Linked DNA regions of Cricetulus griseus. The protein of the gene in region 1 interacts with the protein of each later gene in a biochemical or structural test. Links are inferred from orthologs where the notes say so. Each region holds a gene or a part of one and is shown in the gene's direction. Other genes may lie near its edges.

Evidence for each region.
Region 2: of the proteins of Gsk3b (region 1) and Rictor, one has a biochemical effect on the other in vitro, tested with the Homo sapiens proteins (2 studies listed by BioGRID). The link is inferred for Cricetulus griseus from reciprocal best matches to the Homo sapiens genes GSK3B and RICTOR.
Region 3: of the proteins of Gsk3b (region 1) and Nfe2l2, one has a biochemical effect on the other in vitro, tested with the Homo sapiens proteins (2 studies listed by BioGRID). The link is inferred for Cricetulus griseus from reciprocal best matches to the Homo sapiens genes GSK3B and NFE2L2.

The regions. Positions count from the first base shown.
Region 1 is NC_048597.1:51,926,005-51,932,500, reverse strand, and holds part of Gsk3b (glycogen synthase kinase-3 beta), read left to right. Parts: intron 1-2,679; coding exon 2,680-2,790; intron 2,791-5,953; coding exon 5,954-6,084; intron 6,085-6,496. UniProt on the Homo sapiens protein: Constitutively active protein kinase that acts as a negative regulator in the hormonal control of glucose homeostasis, Wnt signaling and regulation of transcription factors and microtubules, by phosphorylating and inactivating glycogen synthase (GYS1 or GYS2), EIF2B, CTNNB1/beta-catenin, APC, AXIN1, DPYSL2/CRMP2, JUN, NFATC1/NFATC, MAPT/TAU and MACF1.
Region 2 is NC_048595.1:340,527,054-340,533,549, forward strand, and holds part of Rictor (rapamycin-insensitive companion of mTOR), read left to right. Parts: intron 1-2,694; coding exon 2,695-2,850; intron 2,851-3,192; coding exon 3,193-3,316; intron 3,317-4,218; coding exon 4,219-4,357; intron 4,358-4,476; coding exon 4,477-4,551; 3' UTR 4,552-6,496. UniProt on the Homo sapiens protein: Component of the mechanistic target of rapamycin complex 2 (mTORC2), which transduces signals from growth factors to pathways involved in proliferation, cytoskeletal organization, lipogenesis and anabolic output.
Region 3 is NC_048599.1:99,392,037-99,398,137, forward strand, and holds the end of Nfe2l2 (nuclear factor erythroid 2-related factor 2), read left to right. Parts: exon of another isoform or gene 1-45; coding exon 46-312; intron 313-977; coding exon 978-1,067; intron 1,068-1,778; coding exon 1,779-1,967; intron 1,968-2,350; coding exon 2,351-3,574; 3' UTR 3,575-4,026; downstream 4,027-6,101.

The DNA.
Region 1 (6,496 bases):
CGCCAGTCAACTGGGGACAGGAGCTTCTTAGTACTATCAGTTTTACAACGATAAGCTGAAGTCTGTCCCTGTCCCTGCTGCTAGGTGATATTAAACCATGCCATTTAAATGTCCAAGTAGTGTGGCTTAAATTCAACATCCAGAGAGGACCGGATATCAGTGATCAGGGGGCAGTGATGAATTGGGAAACTGTGGAGAAATACTCCATAAATTACACATTATGGAAGTGTGGGTAGTTTCTCAGCAAGATCCAGTTTGTACAGGAGATGCTTTCACAGAATCTGTGAAACAGTCCTGAGGCTCGGCAGCAGCTCTGAGGGTGGGGATTTGTTGTGCTGGTGAGCTTCTGCATTGTAAGCCATATTCTCTCTGTATTTTTGTCATTAGCTTTAAATTTACATCCAATTGCTGAATTTTCTGGTGACTCAAAGGAGATTATTTTGAGATCCCAGCAAACCTGCATTTCAGAAAATTACAAGTGCCAGAAGTGCAGAATCCTGGGCCTTCTTTCTTCTTGAGATACTGTCATATTAAATATGAGTCACCTGAATAATCTTTACAGGAACCTCCAAATAGGATGCAAAATACCACTTTTCTTCCCATGTTTTCTGGGGTTGAATACTCTCACTCCATGGGTTAATACCATGATTATTTAATTTGCATTAAAACATTTATTAATTTAACAAATACCCTTATTTAAGCTTCATGTTTCTCATGATATAATAATAAATTGGAGTATTGACCCTCTAGCAGACATGATTTTATTTACCGCCCTTTGGTGTATTCTGCTTTGTTGAACAGTATAACCTAAAAAGGGATTTTTGTCAGTACTTTGTTTTGTAATGAGACCTGAACGATACAGAGCAGAGTGGAATTGTCTTTATTGATCTGAGCCTAGCCCTTCTTCTGAGCCTCATGTGTTTCATTTCATTAGAAGTATCTCGTTGATTCCTGTTCAGCTTTGTTCAGTTACACCTGTCATTTACTTTCCCAATGGCTGTCCTGTTTCTTGATTTTTCTGATCTGTCTTTGTGTATTGATGCTCTGAGTTTTCATTATAAGGTTAAATTTCACGTTAAGAGTTCAGTAGATCAATATGGCCTATGAGAGGCCTTACAGTTCGTACTTGGTCTTCCATTTTCAGCCATTCTTCCTGGCGGTGTCAGTTTTAGATGGCTGGGTAAAATGAGACACTTCAAGCGTATCTCCTGTACTTGTATTTGGTTAGCGCATTTGGGAATTGTTTGTGAATGTGTTTAGTTATGTCTTAGACTGATTTACCACTTACTCACTATTCCTTGCTGTATTCAGAGTCTGGCTACACCTTTACATTTGTTACTTAACCATTGTCGACATTTGTTTCTTCAAATTCTAATAAATGAAATCATACATGGCGTTAGCTTTCAAAACACTGGTGTGACAAAAAATAACCTGTGGAAAACAATGTAAATTATTTTAACTCACAACTTAAGAGGATTTGGCCGATATCAGCTGTATTTTCAGGTTGTCAGTTGTGGTAAGGCCTTTAACAGCCTGAAAATAACTTTGTGGAAAGGTGTGGTGGGGGTTGGGGGTTGAATACCCTAGGTCTAAGATTTTAATCCTTTCCTTGTTTGAATTTGGTTTTGTACTATTCTTTCCCCTTGCAACAGGGATGTTAACCTGTGCCTGTCCCGCTGTTGTATTGAAAGTATGTAACTTAGTTTTGATTTTTCCAGAGCTCATAGCTAATAGTTTGCTTTGAGTCTCAGGAGACTAGATTTGAACTTTTCAGCAATACTAGAATTGTTATTGCAGAAATTACATATCACCTTATTCAAAGAGAGGGGTGTAGAGGAATGAGTTACGCTTGGTAACTTTATACGTGCACCCACTTTCCTCCTGTAGGAGATACTCCATGAGCCCCAACACAAGTCATTTATTTGGGTTTGTTAGAATTAGTATCATTGATCATTGGTCTGCAGTTTTACCACTCAGTAGCCAATAGTAATCCTCAGCTATATTTTCTGCCTCAGTTTACCTAACTGGCGCTGTTCAGAGAACAGGGTGTGGCTAGTGCTTTGTCCTCTTGTTTCTCTTGACTGGCACTGAATTCCTGTCTTTATGATGCTACAAAGAGAAACTGACACCTAGGCCTTTGATAAGCCAGTGAGTATGATCTCCTTGCCATAAGTTTTGTTTTGTGTACTAGTGATTGTTCTACAAATTTTAGACTGTCCAGCAAACAGGAACATTGTGGAGATGTTAAAGCATTTCAAAGAATACGTAGCTCAGCCCTTTGTAGGAGTGGAAGAAGCTGAAGCTGAGGCACATTGTGATGTATACATAGCAATCTGCAGCAGAGTCAGGCTAGTAGCAACTCCGCATTGTCGTCAGGTTGTCTTTCCTGATTTAAGGGGAGACATTGGTTTTTCAGCCTATAAAATAATAAAAGATATGACAAGTAATAAACTTATAACACATGCATAAGCACATGATAGGAATCTTAATAATACCGGGATTATAAAGTGTGGTAGATGCATTTGTACAGTTCTGGTTATGTTCAAAAGTAATTGTATAATTAAAATGAACCATATGAAATTTTTCTTTAAAAATAAGTGGGTGTATGGAGAATTTACTCTAATTTGAATATGTAAGATCAGTCTCTAATTTTGTTGTTGTTCTTTCATTCTCTTTCAGAAAGATGAGGTCTACCTTAATCTGGTGCTGGACTATGTTCCGGAAACAGTGTATAGAGTTGCCAGACACTATAGTCGAGCCAAACAGACACTCCCTGTGATCTATGTCAAGGTGTGTAACAATGGAACGACTTCCAGTTTACCAAACATTTAATATGAACCACGCAGAGTATTGGGTTTGTTTCAACTTGTCAACACTGCTTTTACTCCTCAGAGAAGCAGCAAACTCTAGATTTTGTTAGTTCTGACTTGATTTTGAAACATAGAGTTCCCTTTAAAGCCTTCATTACTCTGCAGTGGATAAAGGTGCTTGCTGTGCAAGCCTGGTCATTTGAGTTCTATGGGACGTACATACAGGTAGAAGAGAACCAACTCTATAGAGCCCTCTAAACCTCCACATGCATGCCAGGTTTTATGTGCCCCACCTCAGACACATCATGTTGGCACACACATGCACATGAGATAAGTGAATTGAAATGGATATTCTGATAAGATGCAGTTAAACTTTCATGGTTAGGGGTTTTAATTGTGATAGCCATAACACCTTGTGTGTGGGGTGCAGGGTGAGGCACAAGTGAAGACCAGAGGAGGAGGATGTGCTCCCTTCCCCATAGCCTCCCACCTTTGCCTTGAGAAGGCCTCTTACATAAGCTTATGACTTGGGCTGGTCTGAACCTCCCTCCCCATGCAGTGCTGGGGTAACAGCCAAGTGCAACTAGTCCCACCTTTTTACACAGGTGCCAGAAATCCAAACTGAGGTTTTCGTGTGTGTGCAGCAAATACTCTAACCCAGTGAGACATCTCCCAGCCCCATAACATCATTTTAGTTTTAGATGTCTTCATTGTGCCACACACCAAAGCAGGAACCTACTAGGTAAATTTACAGTTATTAATATACTTATTTAATGCTTTATTACCATTTGTAGACACTTATTACATTCATTGTACAAATTTAAACTTGTCAGTTTTAAACACAAGCCTTAGGATGGTACCCAGCACAGTGTTGGTTGTTTTTGGTGCTGTTGTTCTTTTGCTCATTGTAGTGCAGGAAGCCTTTCAACTTTCTTCATAAAAGTACATTTTTATAAAGTAGACCAAAGGCCCCCCCCCCAAAAAAAGATGCAGTCTCATTTCATTCTTAAACTTTACTTTTCCAAGACAAATGAAAAGAACAGTGATGAGATATCTTTAAATGAATCTTAAACTGCTAAGGACATCTTTTGTAAGAAAATGTCTTTCACCGAGTTTTGTTAATCTAAATATTAATACCCTGAAACAGCTAAATCTTTCCTTTGATGCCCATGAACTCTCTTGGTTATAGATCATTTGGTTGGAGATAATGAATTCAGCTACCAGAGTAAGCTTTGGAACTTAAAACTTGATTCTGTAAATGAACAATGATACAATAATAGTTACAAAGCCTTTAAAAAGATTAATAGGTATCTAAATGCTTTACTTCTGATTTAATTAGAAAATGTTGACATTGAAGATCTTAGGTATACATTTTTGTCATGCTTCATTTTGAAGAAGGCTCTAACTTGCATAGCTTGATTTCAGATTCACATTAAACATGTACTGTTAACATGTCCAGCCTTAGCAGTTTCATTATGCTTCTAAAGAAAAGTGGCTTTCCTGTGAACTTCAATAATGCCAGTCCCCAACAATATATCCAGAAAAGACAGGGTCTTTTGTCAGTACCTCAGCTGACCTTTAATCTTTTTATTGGCTTTTTGTTGTTTTGTTTTTGTTTTTTGAGACAGGGTTTCTCTGTGTAGCTTTGAAGGCTGTCCTGGAACTCACCCTGTAGACCAGGCTGGCCTCAAACTCACAGAGATCCGCCTGCCTCTGCCTCCTGAGTGCTGGGATTAAGGATGTACACCACCATTGTCTGGCTGTTCATTTTTTTTTTTTTTCCTTAGTCAGACACTGTGTCTTTGATTGGAATCATTGCAGCAATTGTTTCCATGGTGTTAATCAGGGAGTAGAGCTCAGAAAGTGAGCATGTAGAAAAAATTTAAAATGAATCTGGTTGAGTGTAGTGGTACATATCTATAATCTTAGCAATTTGGAGTAAGACAAAAGAATGACAGGATCAAGACCAGCTTGTATACAACAGGAGTAGTATGTCCTGGAAGAGATTAAAAATGAATAAATCAATAACTAAGAAATAAGTAAACAAATAATAAGTAAATAAATAAATAAGGAAGAAAGGAAGTAACGAAGGGAAAGAGTCACAACACTGGCCTTGGAATAAATAGAATATTGAAGGTGTTACATCGGTATGTTTTCTTAAAGTTTTAAGGGTATTTCTCTGGTTGCTCTGACAAAATTCCAGACAAAGGCAACTCAATGAAGGAAAGGTTTATTTTGGCCTAATAGTTCTGGAGGATAGGGTGCATCGAGGTAGGGAAAGCAAGGTGAGAGAACATGGGATAGTGGGTCACTCTCAGAGGATATATCGTGTGTGAGCTCTGAAATTTGCTCTATAGGCCAAGCCATCCTTGGACTCAGAGACCCCCCTGGCATCTGTTTTTAGGTGGCATTGCAAGTCTACATTATTCTGAAGGTTATTAATACTACTTATTAGCAGAGTTACTGATGTCTGAAAAGGCAATTGATTAGATTTCTTACTTTACCTGTGAGTTTTCCTGGCTTCTATTATATGATTTTGGAGACTAACCTTTCAGAAAGATAAATGATACTAAAAATGACACTATGCTTTTACAGCCTGAGATACTAGAAAGAATAATGAACATGGTTTATCATCTAAAGGCTGCTATCTATCACTCATAGACTATGGTCGGTCTCTCCCTCTGAGCTCTTCATCGATGTTTTAAGTAAAAAAATTCATCCAGCTGACTTCAGATGAGATGTTAAAGTGGGTGAAAGGGATTGAACCCCTGACTTTTTTTGTGTGCTAAGCAAGTGCTCTACTGCTTAGCTACATCCCTAGCCCTCTTTAAATTTTAGATTGAGATATGGTTTCACTAAGTTTCCTAGGTAGACCTTAAACTTAGAATTCCCCTGCCTCAGTTGTATGACACCAAGCCTAGATACTTTTCTAAATTACTAAAGGATAGCACAAATATATGCTTAATGATACTTTAATTTCCTAGTGTTTATGGAAACAACATGAAAGCTTGTGTAGGCAAAACAGTACTAGTAATCATCAGCGTTGTACATGTTCTGCTGAGACTATTACTTTGTTTATTGCATAATGATACAATTGTGTCTGAAACCAGAGGTGCTGAATTAATGTCTATTATTTATTCCAGTTGTATATGTATCAGCTGTTCAGAAGTTTAGCCTATATCCATTCCTTTGGAATCTGCCATCGAGATATTAAACCACAGAACCTCTTGTTGGATCCTGATACAGCTGTATTAAAACTCTGTGACTTTGGAAGGTGAGCTGGCTTTCTTACTTCCCTCATACTCAAATATATTGCAATGGTAGCCTAGGTCCTATAATCCTTACTCAGGGGATATAAATTAATGTAGTTCCCTGTGAGGATGGTTTTGATATTTTTATTGGAATACTAAATGTGAGTACCTTTCCTCCTACAGTTAACTTCTAAAAACTATTTACAGAGAGATTATGTGTGTTTAGTGTCTTTAATATAGCATTGTTACTAAATATCTACTAGCAATGAAATGTCCAAATAAGTTGATATATACAAATACAATGTTATACATGCCGCTGAGGGTAAAAAATGAGGGAGCTGTCTAAACTGGATGGGAATGACATCAAGGAGGTGTTAAGTGAGAAAAGTCAGGGCTAGCAAGATGGCTTACTTGGGAAAGGCACCTGCTATCAAG
Region 2 (6,496 bases), on another chromosome or scaffold:
TTCTCAATCTCCGCCTCATGTTTAGCTGTGGGTCTCTGCATCTGCTCGAATCAGTTGCTGCATGAAGCCTTTCTGATGATGATTGTGCTAGACTCTGGTCTATGAGTATAGAGAGTATCATTAAGAATCATTTTATTGACATCCCCCCCTCCTGAGCATGTTTGGTCTCTGGACTATCCAGACTCTGGTTCCTAACTCTAGTAGTGTCAGGCCTGGGCACCATCTAGGTGTGGGTCTTAGTTTGGATCAGTCATTGGTTGGCCACACCCACAAGTTTTATACCACCTTTACCCCAGCATATCTTGCAGGCAGAGCAGATTTGTTTATGGCTTGGTTGGTGTCCCAATCCTGTAATTGACAATTGTAATAGAGTCCACAAAAGCTTGGATAAAGGGAAGTCAGATATTTTTTTGGTAAATCACTCATGAATTAAAAAATAAGGTAGAGCACCAAGGTGTTTTGCCCAGAGCCTTGGAAGCTGAAATCCCATTTGCCATCACCACCCAAGAGAGATCTCCTGCCAGTCCACATGTAGCACCTGAGGCCCCACCCAGAAGGGACCAGTACCTCAAAAGTATTGGCTGGAAGTCTTGTCTGGTTACAGGAGATGGCCAGTTCAGGCTACATAACCCCCATTACTAGGATTCTTCACTAGGGTCACCCTTGTGGATTCCTAGGAGTTTCCATTGCACTGTTTGTTCCTCACCTCTGAAATTCCCTGATTCCAGTCATCTCTCCCAGTACTCTCTCCCTCCACTGTCCCCATCTAATCCCTTCTATTCCCATCCCCACCTGCCCTCAGTCTACCCATGAACTCCTCTACTCTGCCGTTCCCAGAGAAAGCCATGTATGCTCTACTTTACAGCTAATAGCCACTTATAAGTGAGTAATACCATGTTTGTCTTTGGGGTTTGTTTGGTTTACTCCACTCAGGATAATTTCCTGCAAATTTCATGATCTTTTTTTAACATTGTATAAATGTGCCACATTTTCTTTATCAGTTCTTTGGTTGAGGGACATCTAGGTGGTTTCCAGTTTCTGGGTATTACAAATAAAGCTGTTCTGTACATAGTTGAGCAAATGTCTTTGTGGTAGGATGGAACATCCTTTGGGTATATGCCCAGGAGTGGTCTTGAGGTAGATCAATTCCCAGTTTCCTGAGGAATCTCTATACTGATTTCCATAGTGGCTGTACAAGGTTAGACTCCTACCCACAATAGAGGAGTGATCCCCTTGCTCTACATCCTTGCCAGCATGAGCTGCCACTTGTGTTATTGATCTTAGTCATTATGTCAGGCGTAAAATGGGATTTCAGAGTCGTTTTGATTTGCATTTCCTTGATTGCTAAAGATGTTGAAAAAATTCTTTAAGTGTTTCTTGGCCATTTGAGAGTTCTCTACTTAGATCTGTATGCCATTTTTAAATTGTATTATCTGATTTGTTGGTGTCTAGTTTCTTGAGTTCTTTATGTGTTTGGGATGTTAGCCAGATGTGGGATAGTCCTGTTGCTGGTATCCTTTGCCTTACAGAGCTTTTCAGTTTCAAGAGTTTCCATTTATTGATCTTAGTTCCTGTGCTATTGGTGTTCTGGCCTAAGCCCAATCTTATGGAGGCATTTTTTTAAAAAATGAAGTTCTCTCCTGTCAGATTACATAGCTTTTATCAAGTTGACATAAAACTATCTAGCACAGTAGACATGGAAATAGTAATCTGAGAAGTGTTTGGAGATGGAATAAAAAGTAGTGCAAAGTTTATTTTTTGGGAACCAAGGTTGGGTGAGGTTGAAACTCTTTTCTTCAATATTGGTATGATGAAAGGGAAGTAGGCCAGCTTTTAGAAGGTCTGACTTTCTAGCTGAATGTCTATTTTCGCTGAGTTATATTTTTCATGAGCGGAGTGAATGCTTAACTAACTTCCATTGCGTTATGTAGCACTAAGCTTGTCTGATTGTTGTAGGATGTCCAGTGTTATCCTGAAAGGATGATCAACAGTTTTTTTCACATTTGTTTTCATCATTGATTGTAATACCTAGGGATTTTTTAAATTACATTTTTATTTGTTCCTGTGTTTATGTACCATGTGTATCATGGTACATGTACCACAGGACCTTGAAGATCAGAAGACAACTGATTGCAGTCAGTTTTCTCCTTCCACCCTGTGGGTCCTGGGGTTGAATTCAGGTAGTAAGACTTAGCAGCAAGCACCCTTCTAACCCTTTGAACCATACAGATGATCCATGGCCAGGGCATTTTTAAACCAAAAAAGCATGTTAGCTTAGATGTTAATGTTAGGTGGACTTCAGAATCCCAGCGTGGGCACAGTGCACGGAGAGAAGAACAAGAAGGAAAAATTAAAATAGGAGAGGTCTGAAATAACATTATGCTTTTAATTGCATTTACTGCTGGGTGAGGCATTCAGATAGAGGTAGAAAGGATGGGAGAAGAGAAGATAATAAGGTGTGTTCTTTTATACGTATTTGCTTGAAAATTAATGACTTATTCCTACATTTTTACTAGGAAAATCAACTCTAGAACATAGCAGGTTCTCTTGTTTGAACTCTCAATATCTGAGCAGTCTAGATTTACTTTGAAAAATCTTAATGAAAAGAAATTGTTGAGAACAGGGAAGGAGTTCTCTTAGAGTGTGCAGTCCTACCACAGGAATGAGCTCTAATCGAAATGCTTTTACCTTCAGACCTTCAAGATATTCCGTATTCTGATTGGTGTGAGCAGACGATCCACAATCCCTTAGAAGTGGTTCCCTCTAAGTTCTCAGGGATTTCTGGATGCAGCGACGGTGCATCTCAGGAAGGCTCAGCCAGCAGCACCAAAAGCACAGAGCTGCTACTGGGTGAGTCTTTAGATGCAGTTTCTGCATCCTTAATAAAACTGCATTCAGTTGGTTTTGCCTGCTAGCATATGTACTGTAATGTACAGTTGTCTCAGAGCTCTAACAGGTCTGTGTAAGACATTTAGCAGACTCTTAAATACTGCACCTATGCCAGCCATTCATAGCCCGTTCCCTCTCCGTGCTCTACTTCTATGAGAGCTTTGCCCCTACTTCATTGGCAGATTTTGTGCAGTTGATTCCAATTTCAGTTGCTTTTGTAGTTGGAAAATAAATAACCGTGAACCATAGTCATTTCTACATTGTGATATGATAAGTGACCTCACACTGACGTCTTCATTTCAGGTGTGAAAACCATTCCAGATGATACACCAATGTGCCGTATCCTGCTTCGTAAAGAAGTGCTAAGATTAGTCGTCAATTTGAGTAGTTCAGTTTCTACCAAGTGTCACGAAACAGGGCTTTTGACGTGAGTAACTATGTGAAGGTTGTGAGCTTGTTCTACTTTGTAAATTGCAGGAAGACACTTGCACAACAGCAGTCACAAGCTGCCTTCTATACATAGGGCTTAAAGTTGCTTCACTGTGGTACCTTAGTCTGGAGAGCAGATTGAAGAGAAAGTGAGAATCCAGCAATAATTTCAAACAAATCTGCAAAAATGGAAAACTGTATCTAAAAGCAGGACCCCTCTTGTCCCATTTTTTTAGTCTTGGTAAAATTTGGGGTTTTAAGTTAAATAACTTATTTATGTTAAACCTATAAAACATTTTTTTTAATTCCTAAATTTCAGTTTCTGGCATAATTGTTGGTGGCTATAACTCAAATACAAAAACAAGCTTTTTAGATTTCTCAATCAAATTTCAAGAAAGTGAGGAAGACCTAAGACCAACTGTTTTAGAAGTGAGGCTAAAATCGTTTATTTTTCTCTTTTCCTTCTTTTAAGAAAAAATTTAGGATATTTATTGTTTTTCTAACTCAGAGCAGCCTGATAAATGAAAAAAAATGATTTTGAGAAAATCATCCCTATTTGTGCTATTTAAAGTAGTGGTTTTCAAAAGAAGTATGAAATAGAAGTAGTTTGTAATAAGCCAGGTTTGGCGGCATATACTCGTAATCCCAGCACTTGGGAGGTCTCAGAGACAGGAGGATCTGGGATGCTAGGGACATGGAATCATGTTCAAGGCATGCCTGGACTACATGAAACCCTGTAGCAAAAAAAGGGAAAAAGAGACAGACAAACTAACTCACTATATTACTAAGCCATCACTCCTAACATTCCATCCAGTCAATATCTGGAGAAAAAATTAGCAGAAGGTGATATTCTGAAGGGTTAAATGAGTAAATTATCACAGCATTGTCTTTTCATTTTAGAATTAAAGAGAAGTATCCTCAAACATTTGATGACATATGCCTTTATTCTGAAGTTTCTCATTTGTTGGCACACTGCACATTTAGACTTCAATGCCGGAGGTTCATACAAGAGTTATTTCAGGATGTACAATTTTTACAAGTAAGTAAGACTATTTCTGAAATTTGTCTCCCAGAATTATTCTATACTTGAAGAAGTTGAAAGAGTGTATCTACATTATATGCCATTTTTATTTATTAACAATTTATCATTTTTCCTAGATGCATGAAGAAGCAGAGGCTGTGTTGGCAATTCCACCAAAACAACCCATAGTTGATGAATCTGATGAATCCTGACCTCATATTTATGATGTGTATAGCTAGACACTATATATTTATCCAAACTTGTGGATTTCCTAAAGGCCTCACGAAATACTGACTGGCTGTCAGGGAGGCAGGAATGTCTTCTGTCCCAGCAGTCATTGGTACAGAACAGCTGCAACTGCTGTCGTCCCTAACCAAGCCAACTTCCTCTTCCCTGTTGGACCCTTCTCCGGGTTCGTGATTCATTACCACAGTTTTAATTCAGTTCCCATCATATGCAAGAGCCAAGCACTGAATACCTACATAGGTTTTCTATTTTTTTATTTTAAAAGCATAATGGCGGTGGAACAAAAACAGGACATGAAGAAGTACCCTTCACATAGTTGTTTCTGAATGCTTCTTAAGGGTAAATCAAAAAGATGCCTTGTTTGTTAGCTAATTCATGGAAACCAGGAGTCACTGTCTCTGAGGCTGCATCCTGCTATCCCATAGGCTGTGCTGTAACTGCTGGTAAAGAGGGCTTCGTTGGCCCTTCCACATTTCCTTAATGTTTGTAACACTACTTCAGAGGTTTCTGACCTCGGAGCAAAAGAAGAGCCTCAACAATTGGAACTTAAGAGTTATTTTATATTGTTAGACTGCATAAAGATGCTTATTTGTTTTCCATCTCTTCATGTTTGTTGCAATATATTGTTATTGTACCAATTAAGGTTTTTCACTACAGTTGTTGGTTAAAATAAATAGTTCAATGGAAATACTTCCCATATCCAGAATGCATATATATATATATATATATATATATATATATATATATATATTTACATACATACATACACAACCCCAGTGGACTTCCATCTGTATGAGCTCCTCTCATCACCACTTTAAACAGACTGAGCAAGTATTAGTAGTCTGCACCCAAAGCAAAGAAAAGCATTAAGTGATACTTCCAATCTCTTAAATACAATTCACACATTCCATGTTAAAAAAAAGAGCCATATTTGTGTTTAAAAAGTCATTGAGACTCATTAAGATTAAAAATTGTGGTGAAAAGCCTTAATCACTAAATTTTAAAGCTGCGACAATGTCATTTTTGTTAGTGTTCTTGTTTTGCACAAAATAATTGCAGTTGTAGGTGAGTTGAGTATAGTCATTGCCTTTATCACATGTGAAGTTGATGAAGGCAGGGTTTTGTGTGTCTAATTTGTGTATGTATAAAGATATTTGGAAATCTTTACAGAAATTAAATATGCAAATTTGTACATAAAGTAGCATGAACATCATTTCTAGAATGCTTGTGAGTGAAAGGGTTATCTTTCTTGGAATCATATGTACAGAACAAAAACATCCAGCTGGATTGCCTAGGACCCTTTTGTAACTGCTTTGTGTAGACTGTTTTACAGTTACACATAAGCTTGAACACCGTCATAGACATCAGTCCATGTTTTCCCATGTTGTACACCCTTTTCATAATGGGCTTGTTTTCGAGACCTGGGAAACAGAACTCACAGAGATTTTTTTTTTAACTGGCACTGAAAGCTCCCACTAGGATGAAGCATTTCATCTCCCTCCTAACTCCTCTGACTGCACTTCAGCAAGTTGTTCTTACATGCACTGTGTGGCAACTTCCATGACGATAAAGCAGACAAGGGCTCTAAGCTGCTGCTCATGTTACAACACGGTTCTTCTCCTTTACTCAGAAAATCCAGTGAGGGTAAAACTTTGAACTTCATCACTGAACCCAAGTGTTTATTTAAATGTCAACAGTACTTCTAAGAGCATTGCCTATCACGTTGGTCTTTGGTCTTGGATAATAAAACTGCCTTTCCAGAGAACCAAATGTCAGAGATACTAGACCAAATAGTGGTTACAATTCCAAAGGAAGGAATGTAGTCTTACTCATAATGGGATTAACATTTTAGACATTCATTTTAAACACTACCTCAGTTAACATAGAGTATAAAATCTGTGGTTTCATCCC
Region 3 (6,101 bases), on another chromosome or scaffold:
CCATCTTGAACATGGTTTCTCCTTCCTTTTCTTTCTTAAACACAGGACATGGATTTGATTGACATCCTTTGGAGGCAAGACATAGATCTTGGGGTAAGCCGAGAAGTGTTTGATTTCAGTCAGCGACAGAAAGACTATGAGCTGGAAAAACAGAAAAAACTTGAAAAGGAGAGACAAGAGCAACTCCAGAAGGAACAGGAGAAGGCCTTTTTCGCTCAGTTACAACTGGATGAAGAGACAGGAGAATTCCTCCCAATTCAGCCAGCCCAGCACATCCAGACAGATGCCAGTGGATCTGCCAGCTATTCCCAGGTATACTTAGTTCTCAGAAAAAAAAAGAAAAAAAAAATGAGTTTTCCTCTAAGTGGACCACCTGGATTTGAGTTCTTTGTCTGTTGTCTACCATGTCTTTTGTGACTAGATCAAGTTCCCAAGCTTGGCTTCCTGATGAGTTCAGTACCTGAGCTCCTCTTAAGGGTCCTTGTGATGATCAAGACATGGATCACAGGGAGCACTTGGAGAATTACAGAAATACCTGTTGGGAGAAACTGCAACAGTAGTGCTGTTGGTAGTAAACTGGTGTGCATTGCTCACAGTGTTGTGGCAGGCATCGCCCTAGTTATATGAATAACTGATTTAACTTACTATGTTAAGTACTATGATTCCCATGTAAGTTGACAGACAACTAAAGCTCAGAAGGGTTAAATCATTTACCCAGACCACTCAGAAAATTAGGGGAGGTTATTGCCTAGCACAAGGCCCTCTGTTCAATCCCCCAGCACTGTTTATTAAGCGGGGAGGGGATGGGACTAAGATTTGAATCTAAGTGATCTGGTTTGAACTTGTGCAACAGACTGATTTCTGAAGTAACATTAGTTTGTATCATTATTTAAGGAACAACTCTTGATGCCAGTCACACCTCTTGGGCTCAGCAGAACTTTTAATAAATTCTTTTGTGCCATTCCCTCTTGATCCAGGTGACCCACATTCCCAAACCAGATGCCTTGTACTTTGAAGACTGCATGCAGCTTTTGGCAGAGACATTCCCATTTGTAGATGACCATGAGGTATAAAAATGTTTGCTTAACAGCAAAACTCCCTTATTTGGTATTAGTTCCTTTAATGTGTCCCCAAGTATAAGAATAAAAAAAATTTTAGAAGGACATATTTGACCAAAGAAATTATTTGTTAAGGGAATTATACAGGTATCTATACGATGCTTAAAAATAAGGTCTGTATATAATACTAAACCTCAAGTCAATTTTACTGTGTAGCTACAAAAAAAATGAATCAAGAGTTAATTTTCCATAGGAAATGGATATAGGTATATAAAATACTGACCAGTAAAGAGCAACTATTAACCAGTACTTTAGTTAACATTCTTGCCAGGCATTGGTGGTGCACACCTTTAATTCCAGCACTTGGCAGTTGACCTCTGTGAGTTCGAGACCAGCCTGGTCTACATAGTTCCAGGATAGGCTCCAAAGCTACCCAGAGAAACCCTGCCCCCCCCCAAAAAAAAGCTTTATCTATTGTTTGAAGCACTCTGCTAGATGTTACAGATAGAAATTAAGTCCTCATAATTATTTTTATCCATTTTGAAATCTGCCCTTAAATACATGGGCAACAGCTTAGTAAATTGTAAATGTGGAGTCATTTTGGAAGGATGAAATGTTGTTGTATAGAAACAGTGATAAGTAATCAAAGAGCTGCAGACCCAATTAAGTGTCCTCTGCATGCCTTGGCCGTCACTAATGTAAGTGCCTTGTCAATCTTAGGTTTCTTCACCTACATTTCAATCACTCACCCTGGATATTTCCAGCAACGTTGAAAGCCCAGTCTTCAGCAGTCCGGATCAGGCTCAGTCACTGGACAGCTGTCTGGAGACAGCCATGACTGATCTAAACAGCATACAGCAGGACATGGAGCAAGTTTGGCAGGAGCTTCTTTCCATTCCCGAATTACAGGTAAGCGAGCTCTGTGAGTGTGCTGTTTCCTATGTGGCCCTTAAATTAGTCATCCTGGTTATTTATTATTTACATGTCACCTACTTACAGGAAGAAATTGGGGGTGTGTTTGAATTACTCATGAGAGCATCCCAGGCTCATTTAACACATACAGTTTTTAGTTAAGCAGGCTGAATATTTCAGGATAGATTCATTCTAAGTGTGAAAGCTAATTTAGAGCTCTGACAATCATATCGATCTATAGGAAATTAGAGTTATTGGAATTATTGAAAAGAACACCTTGGAAATGGGGGGTAGAGAATTGATTTTAAAATACCTAGCCTCTATTCATACAATATCGTATTCATACAATACAATTCATACAATATGAACTTCTTTTCTAGTGTCTTAATACTGAAAACAAGCCGCTGGTTGAGACTGCCACTGTTCCCAGCCCAGAAGCCAATCTGACAGAAATTGACAGCAATTACCATTTTTACTCATCCGTCCCCTCACTGGATAAAGAAGTCGACAGTTGCAGTCCACATTTTCTTCATGGTTTTGAAGATTCTTTCGGCAGCATCCTCTCCACGGAAGACGCCAGCCAGCTCACCTCCTTAGATTCAAATTCCACATTAAACACAGATTTTGGTGATGAGTTCTATTCTGCTTTCATAGCAGAGCCCAGTGGCAGTAGCAGCATGGCTTCCTCTGCTGCCGTCAGTCAGTCACTCTCTGAACTTCTGGGCGGGCCTATTGATGGCTGTGATCTGTCACTTTGTAAAGCTTTCAACCAGAAGCACCCCGAAAGCACAGCAGAATTCAATGACTCTGACTCTGGCATCTCACTGAACACTAGTCCCAGCCGAGCATCCCCAGAGCACTCTGCGGAGTCTTCCATTTACGGAGACCCACCGCCTGGGTTCAGTGACTCTGAAATGGAAGAGCTAGATAGTGCCCCTGGAAGTGTCAAACAGAATGGTCCTAAGGCACAGCCAACACATTCTTCTGGGGATACAGTGCAACCTCTGTCACCAGCTCTAGGGCACAGTCCTCCTGCACATGATGCCCAGTGTGAAAATACAACAAAAAAAGAAATGCCTGTGAGTCCTGGTCATCAAAAAGTCCCATTCACAAAAGACAAACATTCAAGCCGCTTGGAGGCTCATCTCACAAGAGATGAGCTTAGGGCAAAAGCTCTCCATATCCCATTCCCTGTTGAAAAAATCATTAACCTCCCTGTTGATGACTTCAATGAAATGATGTCCAAGGAGCAATTCAATGAAGCTCAGCTTGCATTAATCAGAGATATACGCAGGAGAGGCAAGAATAAAGTCGCTGCTCAGAACTGTAGGAAAAGGAAACTGGAGAACATAGTAGAACTGGAGCAAGACTTAGGCCACTTAAAAGATGAAAGAGAAAAACTACTCAGAGAAAAGGGAGAAAACGACAGAAACCTCCATCTACTGAAGAGGCAGCTCAGCACCTTGTACCTTGAAGTCTTCAGCATGTTACGTGATGAGGATGGAAACCCTTACTCTCCTAGTGAGTACTCCCTGCAGCAGACCAGAGACGGCAATGTATTCCTGGTTCCCAAAAGCAAGAAGCCAGACACCAAGAAAAACTAGGTTCGGAAAGATGGAGCCTTTTGTTTTGAGCTAGTGTTTGTTTTGTACTGCTAAGACTTCCTACTGTGATGTGAAATGCAGAAACACACTTTATAGGAACTATGCAGAACTATAGCCAAAGTTAGCGTAGAAATAATATGAAACTACAGAGCATTCATGTCTCAATGTTGAATCAGTTTCATTTTAACTCTGAAGTTAATTTCTTAGGGCATCATTTGGGCTAGTTTCTGTGTAAGTGTAAATACTACAAAACTTATTTATACTGTTCTTATTTGTTACATTCATAGATTTTTATGACATCTGGCTAAAAGCAAATTATTGCAAAACTAACCAAACCACTATACTTTTTTATATACTGTATGAACAAAAATGACATTTTTATATTAAATTGTTTAGCTCTGACAAAAATTAAAGGAGCTGACACTAATAAAGGAATATCGTGACTTAAATTACTCTGGATCGAGTTTATTCACAACAGTATTTCCCATAGGAGAATCACCCATTTAGCACATTTGGTTATTTTTCACTTTCAGAATGGTTTTGAAAATTCAAAAGCATTTTATAACCAGGTGTGGTAGTACATGCTGCTTATTCTCAATATTCTGGAGGTAGAGGCAAAAATAAACCCTTTCTATACTAAATGTAGTTACTAGGATTGTCCTACCAAGGAAATGGTGTATGTCCCATGAAAACTTGCTTATTCACAGCAATGGTATGCCTGCTAAGGGGGGTTAGGAATGTTAAGAAAAAAGATTGAGAAAACCAGTTTTTATTAAAAAAACAAAAAACAAAACAAAAAAACAGGGAACAGGGCCTAGTGGCTCATGTCTTTAATCTTGGCAATTCGGGGCAGGGACTGGCCAATCTCTCTGAGTTCGTGACCAGCCTGGTTTACATAGAGAGTTCCAACATAGCCAGAGAGCTATGTAAAGAGAAACTATGTCTCAAAAAAAAAAAAAAAAAAAAAAAAAATCCAAATAAATGAATACTAGTAAAACCCATTGCAACTCTGAGCTTGTAACATCTGAAGGTGTAGGTCAAACCACTGTTAGAGCATTGCATGATAACACAAAACTGCAGACCAAGGCTGAGCCACAGAGATGGAAGTGATGGGAAGAACCGCTATGAAAATGGTAGGAGTGGGCAGTCTTTAGAAGACAGGGGCTAAGATTGAAGTGGGAGATGAGCCTGTCCCCTCTGGTTTGTGCACCTGAGCAATCTACAAGGCAGGAGTGGGTTCAGAGAGACCAATTGTGAAGTTAGTATATGCAACTACATTTTTCTTTCACGACAGGGTTTTTCTGTACCCCTGGCTGTCCTGGAACTCTATAGACCAGCTGGCTTTGAGCTTGAGATCTGCCTGCCCTAGCCTCCTCATATCTGGGGTTAAAGGCATACACCATCATTTTCTAATAAAATCAAGGAATTGTTACACAAGAATGAAGAAATTCTAATGGTGGGAAAACTGGCTCACATGTGTAGATAGAGACTATTAGACATGTAGAGGATATAAAAACAAAGCCCCTAAAACTTAAAAATTTGCATTCCTTTAAAACAAAAACACTTGATAACACCAGTTCAATTTCATCTAATCGCTGTAATTCATGCTTATTGCCTTTTTAAGAGTCAGGAGCTAGGTGTGGCTGTGCACCCAGGAGGGAGAATTATCTCAAGTTCATACAGCCTGAGCAGTTCCAGGGCTACATAAAATTTGAGGAAGAGGGTCCTGGAGATGCACTTGAGACTTGATAAACATTCCTCTAAGAGTTCTACCAGTAAACTGGGACCAGTCATGTACTTAACAGCCCTGGCACCAGACTGACCCTGTTCTGGTCATTTTCTAGAGAAATGCCTCCATCTACTCACTTTAGCACTCAGACTTGTCTCATCTGTGATGGAAACATCTGTAAATGGATTATTTGTTCATCTTCAAACCTTGTTCTAGGATTCATAAGATAGTTGGTCATGAATTCTCATGCTGTCCATCTCTGGAGGTGTGGTAGTGATAGACGATCCCATTTTATTCCAATTGACAAAGAAACTGACAGGAATCCTGGGAGTAGCTCCATGTGGAGCACACAGAATAGACTGCCCATCTGCATTATCACAGTCCTGTTTCACAAGATTCTGCCATTCATAAAAAGGAACTGACCGTAGTACTTTACAGTGTCTAAATTTACATTATGTGGTGCTTTATGCAATTGCTTAAAATTTCAAATAGAGAGGCTAGAAAGATGGCTCATTGATTAAGAGCTCTGACCGCTCTTCTAGAGGACATGGGCTCAAATTCCAGCACATGAATGGCAGCTCACAACCATCTATAACTGCAGTTCCAGGGCACCAGTTACACAGACAGGCATGCACACAAAACATCCATACACAAAAAGTCTTTTTAAGAAAATTTTAAAGCCAGACAGTGGTGGCACACACCTTTAATTCCAGTACTTGGGAGGCAGAGGTAGGCAGATCTTTTTGAGTTTGAGGTCTGGTCTACAGAGTGAGTTCAAGAACAGCCAGAGCTGTTGTT